Linked DNA regions of Macaca fascicularis. The protein of the gene in region 5 interacts with the protein of the main gene of each other region in a biochemical or structural test. Links are inferred from orthologs where the notes say so. Each region holds a gene or a part of one and is shown on either strand. Other genes may lie near its edges.

Region 1 (3,213 bases), on a different chromosome or scaffold from region 5:
TTGTCAGATGTAAAAAAAAGTTCAGTTATTAAAATTGAACCCCAGAATTAAAATTGCAAAAGCTTAAAGGGGCAGTTCTGAGAAAAGGATCTTCAGTATTGAATGTGTGGGCTCCACCAGGGTTGAAAATCCTGCACGATTGATGAAACACGATCCAGTTAAGCATAGTAATTTTCAAATATTATCCAATCAGGTCGCTACTGTTTCTAAAAACAGAGAAACCGAGCAAGGGCTTTAGAGTTGCAGCTCTAAAACTCCATTGCAACTAAGCTCCTTTGTCCTGATGAGGGCCTAAACCAAGTCGACAGCCTGTAAGTGCACCCATGGTAAAGCGCTGCGCAAAGCAAGAGCATTTTGCGTTTCAAAGCTTTGTCATGATGGCGCTGCAGAAAGCGAGCGAGCTAGGCCTACCTGGTGGGGCTTTCAGAGGACGCCAACGTGGGCGCCAGTCACGCCAGAAGGGTCACCGTCATTCCCAAGGACAGACACCTCTCTAGCCACTGCTGCCGAGAGGGCGTGATTAAGCCATGAATTTTGCTTACTATCCCAGAAGCATTTCTTAGGACCACCCAATTTCGGAAAAGGCTACTTTAGCAATATTGACCCAAGAACGCAATGTCCGCACTTTAACCTTGTATAATAAAAAAGCCTCAAGCCTGGGACTAGGCTTCAACCTTGGTTCGTTACAGTTATGACTAATTAGCTTGGGGTCGTGAGATGCGGGACTTCGGGCTACTTAAAAAAAAAAAAAAAAGCAAAACAGGTGATCTAAAATTCGACTTTAACTCGGTGCATTTGAATTCACCTTGCTATCTTTGATAGCCTCATCTGGCAAGAATTTACTACTCAACCTATGTTAAAGTTCCTATTGACTCTCCAAGTGATTCTAATATAAATGAGGGCGTATTGCATTTGCTTGGGGGAATTTCATCTGTGTACTACAGCTCTTTTCCCGAAGTGTGTAGGTGGCTCTTAAAAGAGCCGTTGGGTTAGTAGAAGTTTCCAACCGAATTTACTTTTTCTTGGGTGCCGCTTTCTTGGGTTTGGCAGTCTTTGGCTTCGTCACCTTAGCCTTGGCCGCCTTGGGTTTTATAGCCTTAGTTTTAGCAGGGCTTTTAGCTACTTTCTTGGGTTTTACAGCTTTGGGTTTTTTGGGACTCTTAGAGGATTTCCTTGTTGCCGCAGACTTTTTAGCATTTTTTGGAGTCTTGACGTTCTTTTTGCTAACCCCCGTGGCCTTTTTGGGCTTTTTAGACGCACCCGTTGCCTTGGTTTTTGCAGCCACCCTTGAAGCGCCGGGCTTGGTTTCCACGGAGGATGCCTTCTTGTTGAGTTTGAAGGAACCCGAGGCGCCGGTGCCCTTCGTCTGCACCAACGTTCCCTTGCTTACCAGGCTCTTAATACCCAGCTTAATGCGGCTGTTGTTCTTCTCCACATCGTAGCCTGCGGCCGCCAGCGCCTTTTTAAGAGCAGCCAATGACACACCACCACGCTCCTTAGAGGAGGAAGCAGCCTGCACGATCAGCTCTGACACGGAAGGGCCAGCAGGCTTTTTCTTAGTGGCCACCGCAACCTTAGCAGGTTTCTTTGCCTTCCTGCTAGCTGAAGGTTTCTCAGGAGCAGCAGAAGCGGCGGGAGCGGGAGGCGCCGTTTCGGACATGGTGACTAATACAGCACACCAAGTAAACTGGTATAAACCTGACCAAGCAGGATGCGAGAAAAAAAAGGCCCCGACTCAGCCTATTTATAGGGTGGGACTGCGCAGTGATTGGTGCCCGTCAGTGCCCGCCCCTCGCACCCTAGCGCCCCCTGCGCTCTGCAGAGGGTTTCCCCCAGTCTCAGAGAGCACCTGGGGGCCTCTAGGGCCTATGGTCCCGCTCCCCTCAACGCAAGCAAACACACCGAAAAAGCCGCTCCGATTGCCTCATTGTGAAGGAAATTGTAGGCCGACTGCCACCTAGTAACATCAGAGGGTGCCGCTTGTCTCTCAAAAAGCAGCTCTGTTTTAGGGAGTAGGTTGATGGGGAGCGGTTTGCAAATGCAGCCCCACAAGCATCCAGGGAGTTTTATTAGAAAGTTTTAGAGGTCCGTTGCCAGATATGTTAGTTTTTAATTTGCAAGAAATGTAAAATACAGTGTTTGAATAGTTGGGGAGGAAGAGGAAAGTGCGGGTTTTAGGCCGTGTTAGGGCTAGTAGTCATCAACTCGATTACATTTTCTGGCAATGTTTTAGAGCGATGTGTCTCGCGAATACCTTTCACGTCAAAGAAGAATGAATCGTAGACAACACCAGAATTCACTAACGCTGCAATTAATACTCAAACTGCAAGTGTGGAAACGTTTCTGCACTTGCAACTTACTTCCACAGTCCAATGTGGGATGCACTTCAGGAATTTCCAATGCCCTTTTCATCCATACAACATGCCCCAAATGGGTGTTAAGGTTTACAACCTGTGTTCCATGTCAGCACATGCAATGAGCGCACCATGACATGGTGAACTCATTGTTTTATTCAACAAAGATTTATGGGCCTCACAAACCTGCGAAAGGCGTTAAATGCTGGGTCCAAGAAACTGGTTCCCCGACAGGCATTCTGCTGGGGAGTTAAGTCTCCTTAGTGTGAAAACAAACGGTAAGTGTAAGCACACCCTGGGGATAAGATTTTATGGTAACCTCTCTTTAGCTTGTTTGTGGCTGTTAAGAGCATTTCAAATTATCAATAAGCTAAAACGATCTCACATTGCCAATCAGAGACTCAGCTAACGGGAGAACAAAAAAACTATTAAATCGACATCCACTTCTACAATCCTATTCTGGATAACCCCTTAACACAGCGGAGAGTGAGGGAATGCGGTCTATTTCCGTTCGTGCTGTTGTAGTTTTTAAATAAGTCCGAACTGTGCTAAGTAACCTGAGCTTTTTCCCTTTTTCTTCAAACAACGTGTCAACCAAATAATTGTAGTAGTCCCAGATAACTATTGTACCCATCTTCTTTACCAGTGTTTCCTACGTCTATTTTATTGAGAAGCCACGCATTCAAATATTTCACGTAATTTCTTAAAATTTGGAAAATAACATTTGGAAACTATACATCTTGGTTTGACGGCTAGTCAGTTATGAAACACAGGTATATAAAATTGGAAGGTTTTTGTAAGTAAACCCTTTATGAAAGATATAAACCTTTCTTAATGTAATAAGCGAGGTATCTGAAAA
Region 2 (4,552 bases), on a different chromosome or scaffold from region 5:
GCGCAGGTCCGGCTGTGGCGAGGTGTCCACCACCGTACTCATGGTCAATGCCTGGACTAGAGAGCCGAGGCCATGCAGGGCGGGCTGGCCAGGTAACTGGAAGCGTCCCTGAACTGGCTGAGAGGAGGTGCCTTTTGCAGCAACCCAGTGGCCATGGCTAAAAGGCAGAATCCAACCGTCAAAGAAGCCCCCAGCTCCCACATAAGAAAGCGCAAAGGCCAATGGAGCCAAGGCCTCCTCGAGAGAACTAGCTCGCTTTGAGGACAAGATCCTGGGGATGGAGGTAGGGACTGACGTAGTGAGAGGGTCTGGAGGGACAGTGGTAGCTGAGAGTCAGGACACGAAGGATTGAACGTATGGTAGGGATAGAATGGCAAGTACAAATTTTCTGTACTTAAGGAACTGGGAGAGGACGATCCGGTTAGAGAGGATGGGGAACTAATCTCAACGCTGCGTTTACAGAAGAAGCCGCTTTTATATGGCGTATATGTTTGCTTAGAGGGGCCGAAGGAGATTAGGAGAAGCCATCCGTTGGCGCCAATGATCAAAGCGTCTGCCAAGGAGAAGAAGCCAAGGGATGGGCCTTTCAGACAGGGCAGGGAGTCATGCTGCTCTGGATGCCAGTGCCAGGACAAGAAATCGAAAGGAGCGAGGACTCTTCACTGCGTGCCTCAGTCTCCCCCTTCTGCCTCTTTCACCTCTGCCCTACTTCCGGCGTGAAAGCAGGCCACTCTCTCTGATGTAGACCAACTCAACATTAGCTTTTCCCTTCCTTCCCTCAAATCCCCTCCCCCCTCTATCCCCTGTCCCTTCTGCCGCCTGAAAGGGTTAATCTCTCCTGCGGGTAAAAACAGGTCCGCGGAGTCTCTAACTGGCGACAGATGGGCCACTTTCTTCTGGCCACAAAGGGGCCGGAATGGAGCGCTCCGCGGCATACAAATGGGCAGGTCACGTGGTTCCAGGCTCTTGGCTGGACCGGGAAGACCATATGGCGCATGCCGGGGAGGAAGGAGAAGGGGCGGGAGTAGGGGTGGAGGGTGAGGGGAGCGGTTGTCAGAGGAGGGCGGGAGACAAGCAAGGCGTGGGGAGAAGTGGGGAGGAGGGGAGAACCGGGAGCGCACAGCCTGGACGCGTGCGCAGGCGGCAGGCGCAGAGACCTGCTAGCTCCTCAGCTAGCAGCCCCGCCCGCGCTTAGCATCACTAACTGGGCTATATAACCTGAGCGCCCGCGCGGCCAGGACACGAGGAATTCGCCCACGCAGGAGGCACGGCGTCCGGAGGCCCCAGGGTTATGAGACTTTCACTGCTCAGGACCTACTAACAACAAAGGTAATTACAATTCTTTCATTTTTTTGCCCTAGAATAGAAGCAATAACTGAAGACTGATGCACCTACATATTCTGTATGTGTGCGTTTGCGAGCGTGTGTATGTGTGTTGAGACCAGCATCCCTCTCCATAATTGCCCATAAGTACTCACACATAATGAGTCGTGTCACTCAAGTACCCCCTGCAGGCTTTCTAATTTAAATTTTAAGAATTTGGGTTTCTTTTGTGGATAGCATAGGAGCTTGGATTTTTTAAAAGAATACACAGTAATTATGATTATCTGCTAGTGCTGATTTTAAAGTCCCAAAAGCAATAATGACTTCATTTTCTCACTTCTTACAATAAGAAAAAAAAAAGCTGTGTTATCAATATATATTTTGTGTGCATGTATTTTACGCATATTAGGAGTGTCAAGCTGTGTTTTCAGTGAATGAAAGCGACATGGATACCTTGAGTATTCACACCATGGAAAATAAATCAGGTTCAGAGATAGTTTAGTTGAGAGGGGGGAAAGTGAAGAAAGGGAGAGGGACTCACTCCTGCTACCTGTTACCGCTCCAGAGGCGGCCAAGTCCCCAGCAGCCACTACTGGAGCCAGAAATGCAGTTGTTTTACTAACGGCTTTTTATTTTCCTTATTAGAAGCAGCAACTTCGCGGTTGCCAATCGCTGACCATTATAATTACTCAATTTTTTAAAGGGAGGTTTGAGGCGAACTTTGAAAAGCCTCAATAAAGAGCGGGCGGCCCTTTCAATGGGCTGTTTATTAGAGAGGAGCCTTCCGCACCTGATCCCCGGCGCGTGGGAGAGCGCTCTGCGCCGCGCCCCCAGCCCTCGCCCTGCAGCTAGCGCTTTTGTACAAGGTGGAAATTCAGCGTCGGGCCAGAGATGGAAGGCAAGAAAAGAAAGGCGAGGGAGGGGTGGAAGACCCTGTCCACTTTTGTTGCCAAATGTTACATTGATGGTGGAACAATTTGGCGGAAACTATTTTTCCTCCTTTCTGCATTTGCTCTTCAGTATCCCGTCTGTGTAATCTTCTTAAAAATCGCTGCCAGTATTAGTAAATTGCGCAATGGCTCTTCAACTTAAATCGCTAAGTACCTAGAAGCCAGGACAAAAATGGAAGCAGAATGTGTGATTTTTCAGCTCATTTGTGTGTGTGTGTCTGTGTGTGTGTGTGTGTGTGTAGTTGTGAGTGACTTTGAACACATTTGGATAAACATGAAGTCACTGAAATGTACAGTCATTTCCACACACATTATCTTGTCGGGCAACCACCATAAACACATTTAAGTTAATCACTAGGATACAAACACATATGCGTGAGTGGTGTACACATATACATATTCACTGCCTTCCCCCAGTCCTGTCCTCACTCCTACGTACCAGCGGGGCACACGCACGCGCCATTATAAAACACTGCATTTAACTTTTTCTCGGAGGCATTCATTTTGTAATGGGCAGGTACTTTTCTCAAGCATTTGTACAGATTGAGGGAGTGGAAGCTGAAGGCGTATCTGGCTTTTGAATATAGCGTTTTTCTCCTTTTCTTTCTGTTTGCCTCTACCCTGTTGAATGTAGGAAATCTAAACATGACCAAATCGTACAGCGAGAGTGGGCTGATGGGCGAACCTCAGCCCCAAGGTCCTCCAAGCTGGACAGACGAGTGTCTCAGTTCTCAGGACGAGGAGCACGAGGCAGACAAGAAGGAGGACGACCTCGAAGCCATGAACGCAGAGGAGGACTCACTGAGGAATGGGGGAGAGGAGGAGGACGAAGACGAGGACCTGGAAGAGGAGGAAGAAGAGGAAGAGGAGGATGACGATCAAAAGCCCAAGAGACGCGGCCCCAAAAAGAAGAAGATGACCAAGGCTCGCCTGGAGCGTTTTAAATTGAGACGCATGAAGGCTAACGCCCGGGAGCGCAACCGCATGCACGGACTGAACGCGGCCCTAGACAACCTGCGCAAGGTGGTGCCCTGCTATTCTAAGACGCAGAAGCTGTCCAAAATCGAGACTCTGCGCTTGGCCAAGAACTACATCTGGGCTCTGTCGGAGATCCTGCGCTCAGGCAAAAGCCCAGACCTGGTCTCCTTCGTTCAGACCCTTTGCAAGGGCTTATCCCAACCCACCACCAACCTGGTTGCAGGCTGCCTGCAACTCAATCCTCGGACTTTTCTGCCTGAACAGAACCAGGACATGCCCCCGCACCTGCCGACGGCCAGCGCTTCCTTCCCTGTACACCCCTACTCATACCAGTCGCCTGGGCTGCCCAGTCCGCCTTACGGCACCATGGACAGCTCCCATGTCTTCCACGTCAAGCCGCCGCCGCACGCCTACAGCGCAGCGCTGGAGCCCTTCTTTGAAAGCCCTCTGACTGATTGCACCAGCCCTTCCTTTGATGGACCCCTCAGCCCGCCGCTCAGCATCAATGGCAACTTCTCTTTCAAACACGAACCGTCCGCCGAGTTTGAGAAAAATTATGCCTTTACCATGCACTATCCTGCAGCGACCCTGGCAGGGGCCCAAAGCCACGGATCAATCTTCTCGGGCACCGCTGCCCCTCGCTGCGAGATCCCCATAGACAATATTATGTCCTTCGATAGCCATTCACATCATGAGCGAGTCATGAGTGCCCAGCTCAATGCCATCTTTCATGATTAGAGGCACGCCAGTTTCACCATTTCCGGGAAACGAACCCACTGTGCTTACAGTGACTGTCGTGTTTACAAAAGGCAGCCCTTTGGGTACTACTGCTGCAAAGTGCAAATACTCCAAGCTTCAAGTGATATATGTATTTATTGTCATTACTGCCTTTGGAAGAAACAGGGGATCAAAGTTCCTGTTCACCTTATGTATTATTTTCTATAGCTCTTCTATTTAAAAAAAAAATACAGTAAAGTTAAAGAAATGCACCACGAATTTGGTGTAGCTGTATTCAGATCGTATTAATTATCTGATCGGGATAACAAAATCACAAGCAATAATTAGGAACTATGCAATTTTTAAACTAGTAATGGGCCAATTAAAATATATATAAATATATATTTTTCAACCAGCATTTTACTACTTGTTACCTTTCCCATGCTGAATTATTTTGTTGTGATTTTGTACAGAATTTTTAATGACTTTTTATAATGTGAATTTCCTATTTTAAAACCATGCAGCTTCATCAATTTTTATACATATCAGAAAAGTAGAATTATATCTAATTTATACAAAATAAT
Region 3 (4,519 bases), on a different chromosome or scaffold from region 5:
GAATTTAAAATCATCAATTATAACAGGTTCCTTCGTGCAAACGTTGTATTACCCTATGCCCCCTTTACCTTTTTCTTCCTTCACAGCTCTCATCACAATTTGACATTTCACATCTAAGCAACCAATTTGCCTCTTTTGCTCATGAGATACACGTCCATACAGGTGCCAGATAGTTACCCAAAGAATAAACTGAGAACACAAGTAATTACAGGTTTGATTAAACTTGAAGATCTGAATACACTGATCATTAATATTTTGATATTGATGAGGTTTCATTCTAATCCTTCGTTTCAAATTTACAACCAAGAAGTAAACAAATAAAATACTGTATTTTGACATCTTCAGACCTTTTAAGTCCAACAGATACTGCTTCTGTAGCCCCTTCTACAAAAAGACCCTTAGTTTTTAACATATTTTCAGCAACTTAGAATCAACTCAGTTACCAGGAGCCAACAGGAGCAAGCTGAATAAAAAGAGATGGCACTTTGGATTACACTCGTCATGGTACAGGTATTCTTTTCAAAAATCTCATTAAAGGCCAAGTGCAGTAATTTACCATATTCGGTATTAGCTTTATAATTCTGCAAATCAATGGGCCTAATATGAAAATAGGTACTTTCTAGCAGATAAAATTTAGAAAAATATTCAAATCGGTGTACTGAAAACTTTTAAATTTCTATTTATTAACATAATGTTGACTTGGAAGGAGAATCTATGAAAGTCAGGTTTTATGATAGAAGATGTCCAAGTCCACCTACTAGGGTTTAGTTCCACATATTCTCCAAAGGATAGTATTCTTAGAACTAAACTATAGATTTAGGCCATTTATTTAAACTTGGGCAATTCGAACAAGCTTGAAACACAAGAGTGCCTTGAAAATAACTGTAAATGTCATTTATTTCCCTTTGATTTTTAAATGGTAACCCATACGTAAAAGGTTTTTCCCTTATTCAATCACAGGTCATGTGTATTACTTCCAAAGTAAATATTAATTTAAGTGAGTTAATTCCATTAACTCCAAAGTGAGTATTAATTTAAGCTGACCAAAAAAAGAGGACCCAGATACCCGTTTCCAAAGATGTTTTGAATCCACCTATTTTCAAAAGGCCAAATTTCATTTTACAGCTCTTCTGAAACCAGGGAAGCAGTGTGAATTTTTAATTGCAGCAGTGAGATACCTTAAAATGTTAGCAGTGATATTTTTAAAATGTAGTTGTTTCAGAACTGATCAGTGACCGTCTAAAATAGGGGCTCCTTGAGGACATCCTGTGCCTGGTTCATCCTTTTTGTACTCTCAAAGTCTAGCCTTCTAAGATAGGACCTCAGTCCCAGCCTCCCTACACTGCCATCCCTGAGATCTTTAGGGGAGTGGGGTTCATTGACAAGGTTGCAGGCTACAAACTTGGCTAAGCCATCCCCGAGATCTTTAGGGGAGTGGGGTTCATTGACAAGGTTGCAGGCTACAAACTTGGCTAAGTTTATACTAACACCTCATTCCATCCTACCTCCTATCTTAAAAAGGAAACAGTTTAAGTATCTTATTCTAGTGATTTCAATAAACGAACTAATTTATAAGAAAGCCAAGAACAATTAAAGTCACAAAGGGCCAAACTTTTTATTTTCATCTAAGAACCGTTTGCAGGGGTGGTCCGATCTTTTGGCTTCCCTGTGCCACATTAGAACTGTCTTGGGCCACACGTAAAATACATTAACTAGTTGATGAGCTTTTTCAAAATAATAATAATAAAGCTTATGAATTCGTGTTGGGCCACATTTAAAGCCGTCCTGGGCCGCGGGTTGGACAAGCTTGGTTTAGGGGTTTAGATCGATTAGGGTCAATACTCCCCAAATAAAAAATCCTGATCAAGACACCCATCTAACTGTACCTGGGAAACACAACAACAACCTTTTGCTAATAACAGTTAACATAAGCGCTATATACGCGTTAACTTTTTAAAATACTAGCAGTGGAGGCCCTTCCTCATCAGCTAACATCCACAATCTCCGGTACCAATAAAAAGATTAAGACCAAAGAGAAGCAGGGAAGAGTTTGAAACCCAGGGACAGGGCTTACTAGCTTACTCTCCCTTTTCACGTTCCACCGTCTCTACAACTTTCAAAGTAAGGATAGCCCGAGGGCAAGGGTCTCCAACCAGGCCCAGCTGGTGGCCACGAAGCCCATTACCACGTGTGGAGGGAAGCCGCCGGGGGGTTTCCCCTCCCCGCGCGGCCGCCCCCAATGGGCGGAGAGCCCGGGAGCGTCGCAGTCTCCCCCGCCCCCTCCCCGCCTCGGGGCCTCGTCCCTCCACAGCCCCTCCCTCCCGTCGGAATTCGCAGCCTCCGCCGTTCTTTCATCTCCCAGCGGCCTCCCTCCTGGTATTATTTTTGAGGGAAAAGCAGGGGGGTGTCGAAAAGGCGGCCGGCTCTGCACTTGGCCCGGCCCGTACGCCGGGGGCCTCCCGGTCCCCGCGGCGCAGTCGACTCTCAGAGCACCCGGGCGTCACCGCGGCCTCGCTCCGGTACACGCGGAGAAGACGGTGGAGCTCAGAGAACCTCACGCCGCCAGGCCGCGCCAACCCCTAAGTCGCCTCAGCCGTCCCAGATAAAAGCGCTGGTCGGCCCTAGGGCCCCTCTCAGACTCCGGGGTCCAGACTCCGCGGTCCTGTCCGACCTCACAGGACGACCCCGGAGGCCCTGGGCGGCCAGCGGCCCCGACTCCCCGCTCCCAGTCCCTCTATCCCTCCGGCCCTCCCATCTGCGCAGGCCGCCCAGCGAAAACTACGTTCCCCCTTCCCTTCCAGGCCCCCATCCGTTACCGGCGGCTAGTATGGGGAGCCAGGCGGCCGGAGCTGCGCAGGCAGTGACTCAGGGCGGCAGCGGCGGCGGGAGGAGCAGGAGGCGGCGCCGCGAGCAGATGGCGCTAAAAAAGACCCAAGAGCCCGCCGCTCGCGCTCATATACAATTAGCGTCAGCACGTAGGGCCCTCTCGCCGCCCTCCCCCCGGCCTTGTAGTCTCCCAGCAACGCGAGCGAGAGGCGGGTCCAGGCCGGGTTGCCTAGCAACTGAACCGTCCTTCTTCCCCGGCGACCTCCATACCGCAGCCGAGGACTCCTGCAGACCCAGGACTCCTGCAGCCCCGAGGCCCAGCGCCGCGCTTGGGCTCCTCTGGTACCCGCCGGTGTCTAACCTTCTCTGTTAAGCACCCCACCATCTCTTTTCTCCCCGCTGAGCCGGAAAGGAAATCTCAACCCCATCAGTTGTGGGGAAGGCCTGGCCCGCGTGCCCGGCGCCCGGCCCGCTCCGCCCCCTTCGGCGTTGTGCTGGGAATGCTGAGGGCGGGCGCTAGTCGCCTGGTCCCTCTCTCGCCGCAGCCTAGACGGCGGGCGCTCCCTGTCAGGGCCTAATTCCTGCAACTCGCCGGCCCCCGGTAACTATTTTCCCTCCCCGCCTAAGAAAAACAGTTTTTTCCTCTAGACCACTTCGGCGGCCTCTTCTGCCTGTTTTGCTTCGAACTATGCCAGCGGGTCTCCGTGCCTTTAGGGGGTGCTCGTCATCCTTAGCTCCCCATCCCCCCGCCACATACTTGTACCTGATGTACAGTCCCTTCAGTTCTTTTGACGGATGAAAATGGCATATTTGTGCATTCTCTGGATGCGTTGTAATGAGGACATTCAGTATGTCTGTTGTTTCATCTTTCTGAAAAAGTAAATCGCATTAAATCCTCAGGCTTGTAAAACCTCATAACTAATTTTCAAGTGATGATGAATTGACTAACAATAACTCAAAAAGTTGTTCTCAGAATATGGTCTGAGGGTCCCCAGACCCTTTCAAGAGGAAGGTCAAAACTATTTCCATATTAATGTCAAGACTGTCTTTTGCATTCTCATTCTCTCACAAGTGTACAGTGGGGTTTTCCGGAGGCTATGTGACATGTGATAAGGAAACAGACTGAAAATAGAAGCAGATAGGAGAATCCAGTCATCTGCGGTTAAACCAGACGTTAAAGAGATTTGCAAAAACTCGATTTGGGGGCAAGAGGGAGTAGTTATTTTTCTTTCTTCTTTTCTTTTTTTTTTTTTTTTTTTTTTTTTTGAGAGGGAGTCTCGCTCTGTCGCCCAGGCTGGAGTGCAGTAGCACGATCACGGCTCGCTGCAAGCTCCGCCTCCTGGGTTCAAGCCATTCTCCTGCCTCAGCCTCCCAAGTAGCTGGGACTACAGGCACCCGCCACCACGCCTGGCTAATTTTTCGTATTTTTAGTAGAAACAGGGTTTCACCGTGTTAGCCACGATGGTCTCGATCTCCTGACCTCGTGATCCGCCCGGCTCAGCCTCCCAAAGTGCTGAGATTACAGGTGTGAGCCACCTCACCGGGCCTATTTTTCATATAAAAAATTATTTTTGTTAATATTTGATTGCTTTATTGTTTTTAAATGAAATACTCTTAAAATTTCTCACTTTTAATTTCTGACATAAGTATCAGTATCAATAATGCACATAAAAGTTCTTTGGGGTCCTCAACT
Region 4 (4,486 bases), on a different chromosome or scaffold from region 5:
CAGAGGGGACAAGTGCTTTCTCTTTCCTACATTATCCTTTGAGATCTACCCTGGACCATGCACCTCTACTCCCGATCCCCACTTAAGTTGCCCATCCTGCCACCAGGCTTTTGCTTTTGGCGATACCCTTCACCAATCCACTCCCACCCTCTATTTCAAGGCTCAGTTCAAGGTCTGCAGGATCCCTCTGTGACATTCCCAAGTATCCAGGCCCATCACGCCTTTCTTCCCACATCTACTGCACTTAAGAGTTAGCATTTTCCATTCTGGGCATAACTGTCCCCTAAGTATTCAATTAACTGGCTAAACAGACAGCCCCTTTACAGCCGGGACAGGTTACCCTGTAGCCTCAACAGCACTTAGGGACCCATGGGAAATAATATATGCAAAAAGCTGAAAATAAGGAAGCAACAGGAATGAACAGAGGTACTGTCTGACTAGACTTGAAACGCATTCATTCTACCAGGCACCTCCAGTATAAATCAGTTATAATTTTATTTCCAGCCAATTACTATTCAAATCTAATTAACAACCAAAATGGTAAAACATACTTACTGTCATGAAATACTGTCAGAACCGTGTTGTCAGTGGTGCTGAAGAATACCTGTCTAAAAAGGTGTCTAATCTTTGTGATTTCAACCTAAAAGATAAACATCTATTAGGACCTAACATCTATCAGTAGTAAAAAATATATCAAATGTATCACTTACAGGCTTTTTTTCTCATAAAATTAAAGAGGGCATGTACAATTTTGACTACGATTCATAATCCATGGAGTGCATGGTATAAAATAGTATAAAAAGGCATCATCCAATAAATGTTTGTTGACTTGAAAGATTTATTTTGGAGAACTTACAAACAAGTTAATTCCATGGGGAAAGGAGAAAATGGATTTTCCAACATAACCCTGAATTTAGCCATATTCATCATAAACATTCATTACAATACACCAAATAGGGACCAAATTATATAATATGCAAGACGCCAAAAATTACACATCTAAATCACTTAAAACATTAACACCCACGACGCAAATACACCCCTTATCAACTTAATTTTTTGGTGGCGGTTTTCTTACATGTTTCAGAGTAACATTTAGGCATTCTATCGCTTAAAAGGAGGAAAAAATTATCTGAGAATATAATGCTTTCCAATTAAGAATCTCAGATTATACTGTAATGAAGATACATTCTGCACTGGGAGTATATCAAAAAAGCAACACAATCAAGACCCTTATTTATAATTTTGAAGCACCACCATTTTTGACTAAAATTGCATCGAAATAGCACTTCAGTCTCACTGTAAGGCATAAATAGCTGAACAAATTAGTATCAATTGCAGTGTTACAAGTTTCATTTCTCATTTGTTCCCTTCTCTTTTTCAAAGGAAACAATTAAATGGGTGAGGGGTAGGATGCCAAAACAAAAACACATCCTTTCAGTGTTAATTTTAAAGGGAGAAGACATACTGATACGCATCCAAGCATGAAATCTAGCAAACAGCAGAAAAAATTGTAGCCACTGAATTGAATGTTTTTAATGCCACTAAAAGGGTCCAGGTAGCAAAGACTGCTTGACATTTGCTATAATATTAAAAGTAACATAATTTATTTTCAAATATTAATAGTATCCTCTAACCCCAAAACTGCTCAGAAAAGTCCTTCCTTGTAACGAGAAATGTTATTTTTTTAAAGGGTGTCTTTGAAAAAATAAGCCCTCAGAACACTTAAAATATGGGAGCTATATTTATGTATTTTGCTTGGAATGGGGGAGGGGGGTATGGACAGGGGAGTCACACCACACTCCCTCACCCAAAGAGTTGATTCAGTATATATTTAGATTCAGTACATTAAAGAAAAACACGGCCACCTCATATGGTATATATTTTCTTAAGGGCAGGTTGATATATGTAAAAGCTCAAGGGAATGCATACATCTGTTTAATGTTTGAAGAAATGCAAATTTGTATCCAAGAAAAGCAGTAGTCCCTTCCTCCACCCTCCATTCTTTGGCATCAACAACCAGAGTTTTGCATCAATATACAGTAATCCTTAAATTAAGATACAAGAGCAGCGCAGGGAAGGAATAATTTGCCTTTTAAGGAATTTTGGTTAAACTTTCAATACTTTACAAATAAAACCCCCACTGATTAGTGCCACTGATATTGATCCGTTTGCTTTCATCACTTTATGTTGCTGATTAGTTTCCATACTAAGAGAGATGAAACCACCCCAGTGATTTGTGGCACGAACCACGGAACTATGGGGTCCATGCGGGTTAGTGGGATGCCATTTTTTTTTAAAGGTCGCAGGCTACCTAACCTTAAATTATCCTGTTAGAGTGCTTTGAGCGAGATTATGATTTGTGGGTGCTCTGTAATTCTTTGTTCTCTAAGACTACCGTTCCTTAAGGCCCTGCATATCCTCCCGCCTCCCACCACTAATGATTAAAACCTTAGTCCAATCCGAAGGGCTTCCTTCCCACCTTCGGGGCAAGTCCTGGGACCGCAAGCCGCCAGATGGCTGCATTCTTTACGCGCAAACCAGACTGCGGGGAAGCCAAAGCCATGCCTTCCTCCCCACGCAGGTGCCTGGGTGGCCCCAGCCTCACGGCCCGGTCCGGGCGACCTGTCAGCCCTGCGAGTGCCGGGAGGCCGCCCCCAGAGCGCATCCCCTGACTCGCCCGGCCGCCCCGGCCCCCGCGCCCAACGCCTGCCTCCCGCCCGCCGCGCGGCCCTCGGGATGTGCGGGGAGACAAAGCGCCGGGCCCCACCACAGCCCCGCGGGCGGGAGGGGGGCGCCCCCGGGGGCCCGCGCCGCGGCCGGGGCTACGGGGCCAGGGCCCGCGCCGCGTCTCCCGCCCCTCCGCCGGCTCCCCGCACAAAATGGAGCCGGCCCGGGAAGCCGTCGAGAGCGGGGCCCCGACGCAGCCCCGCGGCCCCTCCTCGGCCTCGGGCCCGGAGCTCAACGGCGGCGAGCGGGAGGCGGCCTGGCCCGCGTCCCGCCGCTCCTCAGCCCGGCGCACAAAGAGCCGCGCCGCGGCCCCGCGCCCGCTCCCCGGCCCGGCCCGCTGCGGGAGCGGCCTCGCAGGCGCGGGCCCCGGCCCCGGCCCGCGCGGGAGGGCGGGAGGCGAGTGCCCCCGGCCGCTGCGGCGTTGGCGGCGGGGACGGCGCCGGGAGGAGACGGACATTTCATTCGAGCTAAAGTGGAGTCGGTTTAGGAGCGATCATTGGCCGAAGCGAGACACAAACCTCCAATGCAGCCCTGGTTGGCTCCCGTCTCCAATCGGCTGTTTGGTTGGACAGAAAATGGCTGCGAAGGAACCAGTCCCAGCGCGGAGCTCCGCTTCCAGGACTCGGCCTCCCCTCCCTCCGCCGCGGGCCGCTTCCCTCGGCGCGACACCCTCCCTCCGCGCCGCCCGCGCGCCCGCCCGCCGCGGCTCCGCCCCGCCCCGCCCCCGGCCCCGCCCCGCGCTCCTATGAGGCCGCCGCGCAGCTCCGGATCCCGCTCCTTTTGGCGCGAGGTCTTCTAGGGCCCGGCCCGGGCGCGCAGTTCGGGTCTAGGCGGGCCTTCTTCCCTGTGCTGACCCGGGCCTGTGCCAAGCGGGATCTCTCGGGCCTCCCTCTCCTTGTCACCCCTTCCCCCGCCACGTGAAGGTGTCTCAGCCGCCCGAGCTCAGCCTGCCTGCGCCTGGATTTTTAAGAAGGGGAAACCAGGGACAGAAGCCGCCCCCTAGGACGACGCGCCCGGGCCACGGGGAGAGTCTGAACGGCGGGGACCTCTTGGAGCGCCTTCAGCGCCTCGTGTTTTCTTTCCTTGGGTCCCTGTTACCGTCGCTGCAGGCACAGCGCTCCCTGTTATTTGGTCCCTGAGCTTGGGTGTTTTTCACATCTCATCTAAAGATGCAGACCCCTGCTAAGTCTAGCCAGCCTTCACCCTGAATCTTGAACTTAAGATGCTGCATTTTCCACCCACCCCCGCCCCTCTAGTAGCTGCAAATTGTCAAGCGGCTTTTCCCAACCAGATGACATTTTGGCTGCAAGAATCCGTGGCCCGTTCTTGCCTCTGTGCAGCCAAGCTCCTTCGCTTTCTCTGACTGCAGTCCCGGGTCCAGCTTCGCTCAGCAGTGACCATCCCAGAGGTGGGTAATCCAACACCACTCACTGCAACTGGATCTGGGGATGGCGTGCCCTCTGCTTCCACTAACCGAGTGGCCTGCGCCACATGAAACTCTCTAGCTTTGATTATGTAAAAATACAGAGAGATCTTTTATTTATAGAGTTCCCACTGTTTCTCAGAGTATTTAAACATTTCTGGGGCAAGTATGGAAGAAAGGACAAATGAAAGCCCCAAATTGTGAAAAGAGGAGTAAGTAGCAATGCCACTGTCATCAGACAACCTGACTTGAATTCCAGCTCCCCTTCTTACTGGCTTGTGATCTTGCCCAAATGTCTGCTTCTCAGGGTCATTTGGGATAATGTATACATAG
Region 5 (5,001 bases):
TATCAGTTTTTCAGGATTTCCTTCAGTTTCTTTTATCATTTCACATTACTCATAGTCTGAGATACCATTTTAAAATGGGGTCTGATGTTTTGAAAGTTTAATACCACTGAAACGGAACCCTAGTAACCTTTCTAAGCCAACATTTCTTGCCCAACTTAAAGAGCTCTTTCACACCTGAGAGGTTTAAAACCCAATTGAAAGTTTAGGCCGGGCGCGGTGGCTCACGCCTGTAATCCCAGCACTTTGGGAGGCCGAGGCGGGCGGATCACAAGGTCAGGAGATCGAGACCATGGTGAAACCCCGTCTCTACTAAAAATAGAAAAAATTAGCCAGGCACAGCGGCGGGCGCCTGTAGTCCCAGCTAATCGGGAGGCTGAGGCCGGAGAATGGCGTGAACCCGGGAGTCGGAGCTTGCAGTGAGCAGAGATTGTGCCACTGCACTCTAGCCTGGGCGACAGAGCGAGACTCCGTCTCAAAAAAAAAAAAAAAAAAAAAGTTTAAATGCACTTTTGGATTAAATATTATAGAAGTTTCAAAGGAAACTCAATGCCCTTACATCTGTGCTTTCATTGCTGGTGTTTTCTTCTCGTTTTCTCTCTTCTTCCTCCTGTTCCAGTTCCTTAATGCTTTCTTCCAGAACATTGGGCCAGAAATCACCCTCGAAGTAAGGCAATTCCTTTGCACTTGTTAATCTATCTTCAGTAGCTTGTTTAAAAATATCCTGTGAAAACAAGCATGTACAAATAGGAATTCCTATGTTCTTTTAAAGCATTGATTATAAAGAATCATGGCTGACAAGAAACATGAAAGCTTAAAATGTCTTGAAAGCTGGCAGAGACTATATACCTAAGCCATAAACCAGGGAGCTATTTAGAAAAACAGTGAAAAGGCCTGGCCTAAAGTCAGTATTTCTGGTTTTCTATTTCTTCTACCCACAAAAGCAGGGAGCTTATCTGCCTTTATATAATCAAGTGGCAATTATTCTGCGAGGATCGATGTCAGGGTGGTAGCACCATCATGCAAGCCATGGCCCTTACCACAGAGTATGTGGTGTGAGGCATGCCCTCCTCACACCCATCTTTGGAATTTCAGCAGCTTTTATTGATAGCTTTGTTCAAAATGCCCAAAACTACAAATACTGGAAACAGTATCTGCTGCAGAATGATTCGCTGGGCAGCTTAGGAAAACTTCTTTATTTAGTTGAACTACTAAATTGAGGAAGACAAGTCTGTATCATGAGACAGCCTATATTCATGAATGTTTAAAATAGTATTAAGAAAGAATATATTTTTGGCCAGGTGCAGTAGCTCACACCTGTAATCCCAGCACTTTGGGAGGCTGAGGCACGTAGATCACCAGAGGTTGGGAGTTCGAGACCAGCCTGACCAACATGGAGAAAACCCATCTCCACTAAAAATACAAAAAATTAGCCCAGTGTAGTGGTGCATGCCTGTAATTCCAGCTACTCGGGAGGCTGAGGTAGGACAATCGCTTGAACCTGGGAAATAAGAGATTGCAGTGAGCCTAGATTGTACCGTTGCACTCCAGCCTGAGCAACAAGAGTGAAACTGTCCAAAAACAAAAAACAAACAAAAAAAAACCATATTTTTGGCTGGGTGAGGTGGCTCATGCCTGTAATCCCAGCACTTTGGGAGGCTGAGATGGGTGGATCACTTGAGCTCAGGAGTTTGAGACCAGCCTGGGCAACATAGTGAAATCCTGTCTCTACAAAAAATATACAAAAATTAGCCAGGTATGGTGGTGTGCACCTGTAGTCCCAGCAACTCAGGAAGCTGAGGTGGGAGGATGGCTTGAGCCTGGGAGGCACAGGTTGCAGTGAGCAGATATCATGCCACTGTACCCTAGCCTGGGTGACAGAGAGTGACCCTGTCTGAAAACAAAACATCCCCACCCCTAAAACCCTAACCAACCCAAACCAAACAAACAAAAAGATGTATTTTAAGGCCAGGCACAGTGGCTCATGCCTGTAATCCCAGCACTTTGGACTGCTTGAGGCCAAAAGTTCAAGTCCAGCCTGGGCAGCATGGCGATACCCCAACTGTACCCCCCTAAAAAAAAAAATAAAATAAAATTTTGATTACATGTTTTTTAAAACAGGGATCTCTTGATCTTCTTGATCTACCACTCTTCAAAACCTGGTTTTTCTTACATTAGAAAATTTTGAATATACAAAATAAAAGCAATCAAATTAGCATTTTTAGGAATTACATGCAAGAGGTAGAACAAATAAGACTTTTGTTTAAAAAAAAAAAAAAGTTAAATGACAGAATACAGAGCAGCAACATTAGTGTATTTCCAGATCTACTGTCAGCACCTGGCCCCCATGTCCCAACTGACCTTGTAGTCATGGACAATACGCTCTGATACAGCCTTGTCAAGCATTTTTTTGTACCATTCCTGCAGTCGCTTGGGCTTGGGTATCTTCTGGTCAGGAGGATGGCAATGGAAGATATAATCATCTCCCTCACTTGGTGGACATGCCCAAATATGCCCTGTTGTGTAACTAGCAATACAAAGAGAACATTAAGGAAAAAAGATCATCTATTCTAGAAGGCTACACTTTAAAACCACAAGGTGGAGTTGATATAGATACCAATAATTTTTCCCAAGATAACACAGTGTATAACCCAGCATGAGATTAACATTGTGAGACCAAAATTAGGCATAACTCACAGTAATTTAAACAATGGATCTCATACTGCCTCTACTTATTTTTGGAGGCCATGGCGGGATGTTGTGAATCTCAGCCAGAAAGCAGATGACTTAGCCCTGGATCCAAAAACCCTAAGTTTGCATGTTAAGACCAAATGAAGATTACGTTGTGAAGGAAAATTGACCCGTTTAACAAGAGAGCTAAATTAAAAGGCACACTATTCAGAGAAACAGTCTTCAAGATGAGGGAATGAATGTTTCCAATGACATACATACTCTAAAGGTAAGAAGTATTTCCAGAGCTGTTTCTGGTCTTGATACCCAGGTTATAAAAGGATCAAATGCAGTTAAAATTCTGCCCTCAAATGAGAGGCACAAATCAAACTTCAAAGCAAACGACCCAATAGCTCAGCTGAACAAAACAAAACTGATGTTGGATAGGTGATAGAGTCAACATATCCATTTCTCTCTTACTGACAACATTAACTTCGAAGGGGCTCTAACAAAGTTGAGAGACTTGTTAGGTAAGAACTAAAATGAAGAAAAAAAGGCAAAGAGTTACATATTTGCAAATTTAACCTGTATCTCACCAGAATGTCCTAATAAAAAAAAAATTTATCAAAATATGCTTACCCTAATTTCTTGACATATTCTAAATATCCAATCAGGATTTCATGATAGACTGCAGTCCTCAAGCATTTAGGACGGAAGAAATGAACACTATCGAGGTAAGATATGTATACTCTCCTATACAAAATGAAGAGAAAAAAAGAAAAGTCAAATCTACTGAGTTATTTATTCCATGTGCCTAATAACTCTCTCTCACTCTCCCAGGCTCTTTGCTCACATCGTTATTTATGAAACTCATCACAGGCAGGTGGGCGACTCCACTGTGAACCCTTCAGGAAAGTTCAGCGAGCCTGTGGTTTCCTTCTATTTGAAGTAACTAGCAGTGCCTGGCACATACACATCCATCAGTATTTGGTGATTCCTATACATTATCCAGATTTAAGCTCATTTTCTGAAGAGTAGTACGTTTGTTTCCAAATTCCCATTTCAGGTTGCTATTCATATCCTTTATTATTATGGCCACAGAAGAGCAGAATCAAGCAGTTATTTTGTTTGGGGGTTTGCTTTTTAATCTGTTTCACTTTACAATTATTGTATACTTGAGATTTTGCATTTCCAAACCAAGCACACTCAACATTTTCTTGCCTGTTATACTCTTCCGCCTATTATAATTTGGAACTCCCACACAAATCCGGAGCTAGCCACTGTGAGCCAGTCATACCTCTGGTTGGGTGGAGGGCAGTCAGAGCCATACTCTTGAACATGCATGCCAAAGAAGCACAGGTCAACGCCATCAATTTCTTCAAAGGCAAAGAGGGCTTTGGTTCGGTATGGAAAGGATTCTGCCATCTCTCCACTGTCCACAAACCTATACAATTGAGATAGTGGGAGGACCACAACATAAATTCATTCAGATTGCAATCACCAATGGTAACCACGTATGAGCAATTTTGGATCCACAAGAGAAGAAAAGTGAAATGACTAGATACCTTGCTTTCATGCCTGGTTTTACTTCCACGGTTTTGTCAGAAGCATGAACTACTCTAACAGTGACCTCTCCTGACTCAGGGTGATTCTGTCGCCTCAGAAAGTCATTCACACGATTCTCTAGAAAGGTGCCAAGTCTGGTAGATGGCAACCCTAGGAATGTAGAAGTTAAAAGTTACTGAGGTGCAGATTTACTATTGTTAGTCTTAAGGTTCAACCTTAAATCTCATTTGTACTTTTTTCAATACAAACAGGGTAACTTGGTGAAATTTTAAAAAATCACAGCATATTTAAGTATTCACTACTTTGCAGATTTGCATGTCATATTAGTGCAGGGAACATGCTAATCTTCTCTGTATCATTCTAATTTTAATATATGTGCTGTTAAAGCAGACACAGTACTCAATAATTTCTAAATGTCATTTTCCCCAACTTTTCATTTTGAAAAATTTCCAATTTTGGAAGAGTTTATAAAAATACAGAACAGGGGCTGGTTGCAGTGGCTCACACCTGTAATCCCAGCACTTTGGGAGGCTGAGGCGGGCAGATCACCTGAGGTCAGAAGTTCGAGACCAGCCTGGCCAGCATGCTGAAACCCTGTCTCTACTAAAAATACAAGAACTAGCCGGGCATGGTGGCACACGCCTGTAATCCCAGCTACTCAGGAGGCTGAGGCAGGAGAATCGCTGGAACCCGGGAGGCGGAGGTTGCGGTGAGCCGAGATTGTGCCACTATGGGTGTCAGAACGAGACTCTGTCTCAAAAAAGAAAA

Evidence for each region. The genes of interacting proteins can lie anywhere in the genome.
Region 1: of the proteins of EP300 (region 5) and H1-1, one has a biochemical effect on the other in vitro, tested with the Homo sapiens proteins (2 studies listed by BioGRID). The link is inferred for Macaca fascicularis from reciprocal best matches to the Homo sapiens genes EP300 and H1-1.
Region 2: the proteins of EP300 (region 5) and NEUROD1 form a complex in vitro, tested with the Homo sapiens proteins (3 studies listed by BioGRID). The link is inferred for Macaca fascicularis from reciprocal best matches to the Homo sapiens genes EP300 and NEUROD1.
Region 3: the proteins of EP300 (region 5) and NAP1L1 form a complex in vitro, tested with the Homo sapiens proteins (3 studies listed by BioGRID and IntAct). The link is inferred for Macaca fascicularis from reciprocal best matches to the Homo sapiens genes EP300 and NAP1L1.
Region 4: the proteins of EP300 (region 5) and NFYB form a complex in vitro, tested with the Homo sapiens proteins (2 studies listed by BioGRID, with this or other methods). The link is inferred for Macaca fascicularis from reciprocal best matches to the Homo sapiens genes EP300 and NFYB.

What each region holds. Positions count from the first base shown.
Region 1 is NC_088378.1:146,911,944-146,915,156, reverse strand, and holds H1-1 (histone H1.1), read right to left. Parts: upstream 1,719-3,213; 5' UTR 1,661-1,718; coding exon 1,013-1,660; 3' UTR 1,012-1,012; downstream 1-1,011. UniProt on the Homo sapiens protein: Histone H1 protein binds to linker DNA between nucleosomes forming the macromolecular structure known as the chromatin fiber. Histones H1 are necessary for the condensation of nucleosome chains into higher-order structured fibers.
Region 2 is NC_088386.1:77,224,163-77,228,714, reverse strand, and holds the start of NEUROD1 (neurogenic differentiation factor 1), read left to right. Parts: upstream 1-1,241; 5' UTR 1,242-1,329; intron 1,330-2,907; 5' UTR 2,908-2,918; coding exon 2,919-3,989; 3' UTR 3,990-4,552. UniProt on the Homo sapiens protein: Acts as a transcriptional activator: mediates transcriptional activation by binding to E box-containing promoter consensus core sequences 5'-CANNTG-3'.
Region 3 is NC_088385.1:82,918,683-82,923,201, forward strand, and holds the start of NAP1L1 (nucleosome assembly protein 1-like 1), read right to left. Parts: upstream 3,312-4,519; 5' UTR 3,255-3,311; coding exon of another isoform or gene 3,212-3,254; coding exon 3,097-3,211; intron 2,930-3,096; exon of another isoform or gene 2,817-2,929; intron 1-2,816. UniProt on the Homo sapiens protein: Histone chaperone that plays a role in the nuclear import of H2A-H2B and nucleosome assembly.
Region 4 is NC_088385.1:111,066,101-111,070,586, forward strand, and holds the start of NFYB (nuclear transcription factor Y subunit beta), read right to left. Parts: upstream 3,312-4,486; 5' UTR 3,249-3,311; exon of another isoform or gene 2,452-3,248; intron 641-2,451; 5' UTR 562-640; coding exon of another isoform or gene 556-561; intron 1-555. UniProt on the Homo sapiens protein: Component of the sequence-specific heterotrimeric transcription factor (NF-Y) which specifically recognizes a 5'-CCAAT-3' box motif found in the promoters of its target genes.
Region 5 is NC_088384.1:10,445,150-10,450,150, forward strand, and holds part of EP300 (histone acetyltransferase p300), read right to left. Parts: intron 4,624-5,001; exon of another isoform or gene 4,521-4,623; intron 4,384-4,520; coding exon 4,233-4,383; intron 4,112-4,232; coding exon 3,965-4,111; intron 3,421-3,964; coding exon 3,307-3,420; intron 2,525-3,306; coding exon 2,359-2,524; intron 722-2,358; coding exon 557-721; intron 1-556. UniProt on the Homo sapiens protein: Functions as a histone acetyltransferase and regulates transcription via chromatin remodeling. Acetylates all four core histones in nucleosomes. Histone acetylation gives an epigenetic tag for transcriptional activation.